Cricetulus griseus: one gene and its partner. The protein of the gene in region 1 purifies or fractionates together with the protein of each later gene. This does not show direct contact. Links are inferred from orthologs where the notes say so. Each region holds a gene or a part of one and is shown on either strand. Other genes may lie near its edges.

Evidence for each region. The genes of interacting proteins can lie anywhere in the genome.
Region 2: the proteins of Slc6a15 (region 1) and Gpat3 purify together in Homo sapiens (co-immunoprecipitation; 3 studies listed by BioGRID and IntAct, counting the BioPlex papers as one, with this or other methods). This does not show direct contact. The link is inferred for Cricetulus griseus from reciprocal best matches to the Homo sapiens genes SLC6A15 and GPAT3.

Annotation. Positions count from the first base shown.
Region 1 is NW_023276806.1:168,536,008-168,540,357, reverse strand, and holds the start of Slc6a15 (sodium-dependent neutral amino acid transporter B(0)AT2), read right to left. Parts: upstream 2,851-4,350; 5' UTR 2,495-2,850; intron 2,346-2,494; exon of another isoform or gene 2,324-2,345; intron 1,352-2,323; exon of another isoform or gene 1,292-1,351; intron 1-1,291.
Region 2 is NW_023276807.1:162,900,219-162,904,367, reverse strand, and holds the start of Gpat3 (glycerol-3-phosphate acyltransferase 3), read right to left. Parts: upstream 2,833-4,149; 5' UTR 2,668-2,832; exon of another isoform or gene 2,628-2,667; intron 2,383-2,627; exon of another isoform or gene 2,211-2,382; intron 2,170-2,210; exon of another isoform or gene 1,950-2,169; 5' UTR 1,794-1,949; coding exon 1,653-1,793; intron 1,170-1,652; exon of another isoform or gene 1,147-1,169; intron 1-1,146. UniProt on the Homo sapiens protein: Converts glycerol-3-phosphate to 1-acyl-sn-glycerol-3-phosphate (lysophosphatidic acid or LPA) by incorporating an acyl moiety at the sn-1 position of the glycerol backbone.

The sequences.
Region 1 (4,350 bases):
GACTGATCACAGCTGACATTTAAGCATAAGAAGTTCATGAAGAACTACTAAATACCAGCAAAAGAGTAATGTTGTTAATAAACCAAGACTAAGTCAAAAGATTCTAGCCATAGAAAACTGGATATCTTCCATGCATTGCACTATGCCTATGGAGTTTTTTTTTTTTTTTTTAATAATGCCATCTGCTCAGAAATCACTTCAAAGTCAAGTCTGCATATTAATATATTATTATATCCAGTCATGCATATGTAGTGGTAAAGAATTAACATAATATTCAAAAAAAGTTGGATGATAAATGAAGAAAAAAACCAAAACTAGAGATTGTAATAACCACGGGGGGGGGGGGGAGGAACTCTTTTAGTTTTGCCATTCTAAGGAGACAATGTTTTTAAACTGGCTGCATATAACACCAGAGTCTAAATAAACATTGAAGTATCTCCTATTTTGTACCTTTTTAAGACAGAAACATCTTTTAACAAGCACATGCTAAGACTGGGTAAGTGTGTGATTATAACTATAAAGCTCAGGTTGTAATATCTATTTTGATTTATTTTTAGATGTTCCAATAATTTATAAAAAGGCCTCCTGCCTATCTCCAGAAAGCTAGATCACCTAATTTTAAAACTCCCTAACTAGATGGCAAAATACCTGTCTCCCAGAAACGTGTATAAGAAACCTTTTAAACCCCATTAAAAGCCACAACTTGGGTTATAGATATCGGAATTTTACAATGATTCTTAAGCCAACTAGGTAGTGTGTAATAAACACGGAGATACTAACTTCCTTTCAAAATTTGTTAATTCTTCTCTCCCAACAACACAACAGGAATGCACTCAAAGTTTCACTTGGAGGGTCAGTTAATTTACTTTTCTTTTTTTGTTGTTGTTAATTTACTTTTAAACTTGGTAGGATAATACAAAAATCATTTGAGTTACTGTGAGAGAAATACACATATTGTCTATGAACAAAAAAAAAAAAACCTCATTACACCAAATATTTATAAACTGCCTAAACAACTCTAGGTTAAGAAAGTTGAGAAGGATGCAATTAGGTCTGTATTTAATAAGACGTAATTATGAAGTGGGGCCTTCAGCGTTTGAAGCTTAATGGAACTGCTCTGATCCTGGCTTTCCAGAAAGCAACCAAGCACTGGCAGTTATAAAATACCTTTTACAGAAAAGGCTAAAAGAAGCCTAAATGGAGCACCCAAAGCAAAGCCTTCTTCCCCCCACCCCCACCCCCAGCCAGCCTCAGGTATGCAAAAAGAATTCAGACCTAGGAATGGGGATACCTTTAAGATCTGAAGAGACAGGCAGGATGGACCCAAGGCAACGGCTACAGTCTTATTTGCATAAGCACCCAAACACTTAGACGTCACCACGCTAGCCTCTAGGCCCCGCCCAATCTTACTCCAGCCTTTCTCCACTAGGGTGGAGGATGAGAGAAGAGAAGCCAGATTAGCTATGTTAAAGAGCACTTTCAAGGCCGCTAGCTCACTGGAGAAAAGAAAAAAAAGCATCCCTCCCTTGGAGCCCTTGAAAGAGGGGTCTCTCTTGCCACCCCCACCACATCCCCACCAAGTATCCCTAAAGGGATTCATATTCATTCCTTCGCTTAAGACTGTGGCGCTCAAGTTAACAGTGTACAGCTTTCACTCCAGTGTACAACATTCCTATATATCCAATTTTTTCTGCGCTGTCACACACAGACCAGCCAAGTGGATGAACTACGTAGAAGGCTTAAGGATGCCCAGTCCTTCCCCAGCCGTTCCTTAAGTTCCCAGTGCCACCATCCTTTCCGCTATCCTCTGTAACTTTCCAATTCCAGGATGCGCAGAGGCGCCTGAAGATGTGCTTTCTTCAGCAGCCACGTGCCTAAAAGCCGGTTTTCGGACAGCCCATCACAGGATGCCTCCAGCGGGAAAGAATTGAATCCGGGTCACGAATACACTGCCTTGATAGACTGTGCTACTGTGGCAAATGATCCTCAAGCCCCCAGGAAGGAGGCTTGCTGCTCTCCCGCCTTACCTCCCACCCTTATGAGGACTGGATTCCAATTTACTTCGGGAGTGCATCTCTGCCCTGACACCAAGTTTCCTCCTCCCCTTGTCAAACCCTGCCCTTCAAACCCCAACTTGATTTGGAAACAAGCCCGTTTCCTCGGATGCACTAGGCAGTTTCCACCCAGGTTAGGAAGGGTGGATGCACGTTTTGACCCACGTGCTTCTCCGCACAAGTGCCACCTTGGACCCTCACCACCGGAGCCCCAGTTTGCACAGGTGCAAGACACAGAGCCAGAGGATGTCCTCAGAAACCAGCTTTACCCTTCCACGTTTCCTGTTGCCCTTCCTCCTGCCATCCCAGGATCGATGCTGAGTCTTTCTGGAGCTCCATCCAAGCATCCTGCTGCTCTTCCTGGCGCCTGACTCCTGGGTGGCTAAGAGACAGCCCCACCCTACCCCTGGCGATGCCCCAGCCCCAGAGCGCGACATTACCTCTGATGCTTTTTTAGCCAGCACCTCTTACTGTTTCCACGTTCCTAGGTCGAGAAATGGTCGGATCCAGGAGATGGTGCCAGAGGCCACAGGGGAGCTGTCTGGGTAGCAGAAACAGCTTGCCAAGGGCAGGCTTGGTTTCGGGAGTCGCTGTCCTGCAGCAAGAGACTCGTGAGCGCCTGTGCCTGCCAGGGAAATGGCACGGGATGCTGGTGCGCGGTTCCTGGGGAGCCTGTGTGTGCGCGCGTGCGTGCGTGCGTGTGTTTTGGTGTGTTTGTGTGTATGTATATGTCTGTGTGCGTGTGGGTCTCTCTCTCTGTGTGTGTGTGTGTGTGTTTGTGTGTGTGTGTGTGTGTGTGTGTGTGTGTGTGTGTGTGTGTGTGTGTGTGTGAGTGAGTGTGTGTGTGTGCGCGCGCGCGCGCTCGCGCGCGTGTGTATGAGTGAGGGTGTGACAGAGGCTCCCACGTGCCCAGCTTGCCTGTGCTGTGGCCCCCCGACAGGCTGCGGGGGGAGAGGAGGTGCTTGCGGGCGGGGACCCGGCGCCAAGGATCGAGCCAGGTCTGCAGGCTGGGAGCCGCCTCTCCTCCCCACCACCCCATGACGCAGAGGCCAATGCGGCTGCCCGCTGCGTCCTCCCAGTGCGCAGGGCTGGGCCGGCGTGACGCTGGGTAGATCTGGGGAAGCCCCACGTAAAGCCAACAAAACAGATTACCACTTCTCTTGCCCCCACCCCCACCCCAAGCCATTCTAACATCTGTCTCCTAACCCACTCAGCTAAAAGGATGGGCACTAGTTGCCTGGTCCTTCTTTGTCTCTGCAAGTATAATAATTGCCAGGGTCCTGCTGTCCCCCTCTGCTAGAATCAGCAAGGAGTCTAGAGATGAGGGATTCTGGGTTTTTTTCCTTCGCCTCTATTTACATATTTTGTGAAAGAGGCTCTTGGGGCTTTGCTTCTCAGCTGGATACTGACACCCTCAAGGATGCTGGTTAAGTTGTCTAAAGTGGTTTTTAGCAAGCTGGCCCTCACTGTTGGTTTGTGTCTATGTATCAGGTTCTTTCTCAAGCGGTGTCTACCAGTTGAAGTCTGACTTAACTTTTTCAGTATTCAAAGAATGCTTTCAATTAAGCCACGTGGGGAATTTCTAAAATATACATCGATAAACACAATGAACACAAAGCTTTACCCCTTTGTAGAATCTCTGAACTGTTCCCTAAATAAGTCCCTAGGACTATACTATGATCTAGGCATTAAGTTTAGGGTCGTTGAAACTTTAAATTTTTTAAAGAAATGCAAAAACGCCCTTGAACATATTGCTGAAGAATGAGTTTCCTTCTTTAGTGAAAGACATTTTTTTCCATTTCTAGATAATATTATCAGTAAAAATATTTGTGCCCTTGTAGGCCTTCCAAAGATGTAACACGAAAAATAAACGACCCAGAGACTGATATTTGGGCTCAAACTTCAAGCCGAGTAACAGAAAAGCAAAGCCGCCAGCCACTATCTCTCACCTCTAGCTCTGACTGTGGCTGAAAGGACTAATCCACTCATAAACTCTGTACCAAGTCTCAAATTGCTGCCTCTCTTCAGTGTGGCTGGAGAATGAATGCTCCTTGAGACCTTGTTTCTGTCATATTCTTCCCTAATGTTGGGAATAAAGAAAGGTGTAAGCTATAATTCTCTTTTAGACTGATTCACTCTTGTGTATTCCTGGGTGGCCTTGAACTCAGAGAGATCTGTCTATCTTTTAATTTTGAGTCCTAGGATTAAAGGTGTGTACCACCACATCCTAGCTTCTGGCTGCTGGAATTAAAGTTGTGTGCCACCACTGCCTTATCTCTATAGCTTGAGGCTGACT
Region 2 (4,149 bases), on another chromosome or scaffold:
GGGGCCTGAGGCAGCAGGTTGCAGAGTTCAAGGCCAGTCTGAGCTACATAGTGAGATGCCATCTTGGGGGGGGGTCGAAGAATGGGACAGACTGTCGATAAAGAATCTAATATAGCTTCAAAGATTCATTAAAGAAATAGCCACAAAGAAAAGTCCAACAAGAATCCAGAGGAAAACCTTAGTTAGCAGGCAGCTGTGGGGTAAAGATATATATCTAGGAGCCACTCCTTTACTATGAAGGAAGAAGGGACAGCGCCAAGTCCTTTGGGAGAACAAAAAGCACAAGCCAAAAATAACGCACAGCTGTAGGTGGTAATAGAGAAGCTGGGGAAACAAAGACAGGGACTCTAAGCAACCATACTATTCATTTAATCATAGCAAACACACAGAGCACCTAACACACACGGGCACCTTGCAGAGGGCTCCACCTTGCTGAGGGCTCCCTGTCCTATGTATTTTTACTCTTAAAAACAACTATGTGGAGGCGGGCGTTGGTGGCGCATGCTTTTAATCCCAGCACTCGGGAGGCAGAGGCAGGCAGATCTCTGTGAGTTCGAGGCCAGCCTGGTCTCCAGAGCAAGTGCCAGGACGGCTTCCAAAGCTACACAGAGAAACCCTGTCTCGAAAAACCAAAACCAAAAACAAACAAACAAAAAAACTATGTGGAGAGCTAAGTGTGATGTCCCCTGTCTGTAAAGCCAGAACTTGGGAGCCTAAGGTAAGTGGAGAATTTCAAAGCCAGCTAGGGCTCCAAGAGTGACAGCCTGTCTTAAAACCAAACCAAACAGACAACAGATGAAAATGATATGCAAATAGGTGTTGATACTTCTATTTGGTAGATGAGTACAATGAAGGAGTCAGATGACCTTGCTAGATCAGATACTGGGAAACTGGGATGAGAGTTAGGTACCAAATCTAGACAAATCTGTACAGCCTACAGGGCCTCTCTTCATTAAGACCACTGCTGTTTGTCACACTTAATTCAAACAAACCTTTCAACTCAGCATCCCACAGCACTTGCCTCCCTACAAGGAGAGGCCTGAATTTTACTAAAGACCCTTATAAACTTCAACTGAAGCCTGTCCTAACACCCTATCTGGGGAATTTGGAAACAAACCCAAGACCAAGCTGAGGCCAAAGAAGAACCTTTGCATTCCAGTGTCCCAAGTTAGATGATGATGATGATGATGATGATGATGATGATGATGATAAATCCCCCAAGACTCCACTAAAATAAAATCAGATTCTTTTTCTGCCACCGGGCCATTGGTTTCTTATCTTGGGCATGAAGTGGAACGTGATGCCTCTGTAGACACAAAAGGACCTCTGAAACCTGGGGCTGTAAAAACTCCAGAGGGAAGTGACAGCTTGCAAGGCATGGGTAATAAATCCGCTGATGCAGCAAACGGCCTAGAGTTCATCTAGTAAGTAAAAAATAGTAGTGATGACAGAACCCAGGTGGAAGGGTTTCTGTGAGGTGGACTGCTGTTCTTGGCTGGGATCAGTGCGACTCTCCCGGCAAATAGAGCCACTGTCTTTCTCGCTACAGCAGACCCTTTGCTCAAAAGACTCTGGCAGTTCTATGTTCAGGCGCCACCCAGCTCCCTAAGTTCTCAGAGCAGCCCGGGCTCACATCCTTCCGCCGCACTCACCTCCAACGTTTTCACCAGGATCTTCATGTAGAACTCCGAGATGCCTAGAGACAATCCGAAGGCCGAGGGCAGCACGATAAGACCGACCACCAGCGTCAGCCAGGTGGATAGGACCTTCACCGCCAGGTCTGCGCCCTCCATGTCTCGGCACGCCCTCCGGGAGAGGTCCCCGGGAGATCCCAAGGCCGTAGAGGGATATCCAAGTCCCAGGCAGTCCCGCACAGCTCCGAAAACACAGCGTCCGACCCGGAGCCGGGCTCCAGGGACTCAGCGCCGCCTGCCTCACTCCCTTCACCTCTGCGGGGAGGGAGAACTCTCAGAACCACAGCAATCTCCTTCCCTCTTCCCCTTGGGTCCCTGTTGTCCCCGAAGGCTAACTCTCCACTAGAGGCCCAGGCCAAGTTGTGACCACCGCAGAGGGAGCAGACGAGAAGACCCAGCTGGCGATCTAGGGGACACCCTGGCGAGATCAGAGCTCACGAAGGCAACCAGGAACGCGCCCCACCCCGGGCCTGATTTCCTCCGGGTAGCGATTGCGACAACCCCGCGGTGACTCACCCAGGCCCTCGGGCAGTGAGGATCCCTGCAGGTTCCCTGCACCTTCTGCGTGGGCTACGGGCTATGCGGGTAGCTGGTGGCTTGCTTTCGGGTGCCGGGGAGCTCTTTTACTGCACTCTGCCCTTGTCCCACCCCCCTCATCACCCAACTGGGAACTCCCTGGCACGACTGAGTCCCGGGGGCACCGCTGCCTGGGTGAGCCACCGCCCTCTGCCCCGCCTCCCTCCTCCCGCCCCCGTGCCCTGCACTCCCAGCAAAGGTCCTTTTCGGGAGCAGACTTTCCATCTTCACCCACAGAATGGGCCCCTGATGTCTCCCGGACTCTACGGAAAATCATTTTATAAGCGTACAAAACGGCCGCCTGGGAAAGGCTTTCGGGAGGAGGAGACTGCAGTGCAAAAGTGAGCCCTCACACACCTCCTTTCCTGCCCTGGCCAGCCGCAGGGTTGAATCTTACAGGGAAGAAGAAAGCTCGCTCGTTCTCTCTCCACAAGTCGCCTTAGCCACCCTGCCAACACCTCCCTGGCACAGAATAGACCCAGAAGACCGGAGTGGCAGTGTCGCAGGACTGTAATTCCAACACTTGCACCCAGGAATCAGAGGAGATGAGTCTGGGCTGTTCCAATAGTCCGCCTAGGGCTAAATAACCAGATCCCGTTTTTAAAAGGGCGGGCAGTGATGGGTGGAGGGGCTGGGCTGTTTGTCACTCCCCTCCCTGGAGAGTCCAACCTAAGCTTCCCTTGCATCCACCCACACTCAGAGCACAGACTGCAGAAAATGCTGCGCAAATGCTAACCTTCACCCAACCCGCAAGAGTTTCCCCGGGATCCACGTCCCACGCCGCCGCTATGGTGCTAGCCCTTACTAGAACAAAGAACAAATAATCCTGCACGTGTATTCCACTGCAGCTCAACCAGTTTTAATTAAAACCTGAGAAGGGACACTGAGAACAGTTGTGAGCAAACTGCCCAGGGTCCAGACCATCACTGAATCGGCTCTAAATTCTTCTTAGTAGGACCAAACTCGTTTCACAGTTGACAGTCAGGAATTGTTTTTGGAGTTGGAAAAAGTGGGGAGAGCCAGCACACTGAACGGAGCATGTTAATAGCAAATTTTGCAGAGAAAGCTGTCCCCACCCCCAGGAGTCCTGGAGGAAGAAGAAAACTCTTCTCTCTGCACCTCCTGCCAGTTGCCCACACTCTCCCCACTAGAAACTTGTGAAGGAAAAGGTGTCAGGAACTCACTCTCAAAATGTAGCCTCTGGGGCCAGTGAGACAGCTATCAACAAAGGTGCCTGCTGCCAAACACCATGAACTGTCAGTCTTTGGACCCCTATGGTGTAGGCGTTGAACCAATTTATCACCTGACTATAGGTGTTCACTGGCATGATACACACACACACACACACACACACACACACACACACACACACACACGATAAATAAAACATAATTTTAAAGAAAATTGTGTGGGCTGGAGAGATGACTCAATGATTAAGGGCACTGACTGCTCTTCCAGAGGATCTGGGTTCAATTCCCAGCACCCACATGACAGATAAGAACTGTCTATAACTCCAACATCTGACACTTTCACATAGACAGACATACATGAGGGCAAAACACCAATGCACATAAAATAAATGAATTATTTTAAAAAATTGTGCAGGGCAGTGGTGGCACATGTCTTTATTATTATTATTATTGTTATTATTATTTTGGTTTTTCGAGACAGGGTTTCTCTTCGTAGCTTTGGAGCCTATCCTGGCACTCGCTCTGGAGACCAGGCTGGTCTCAAACTCACAGAGATCCGCCTGCCTCTGCCTCCCGAGTGCTGGGATTAAAGGTGTGTGCCACCAAGGCCCGGCTTGACACATGTCTTTAATTCCAGCACTCAGGAGACAGAATTAGGTGGATCTCTGTGAGTTCCAGGGCAGGATCCA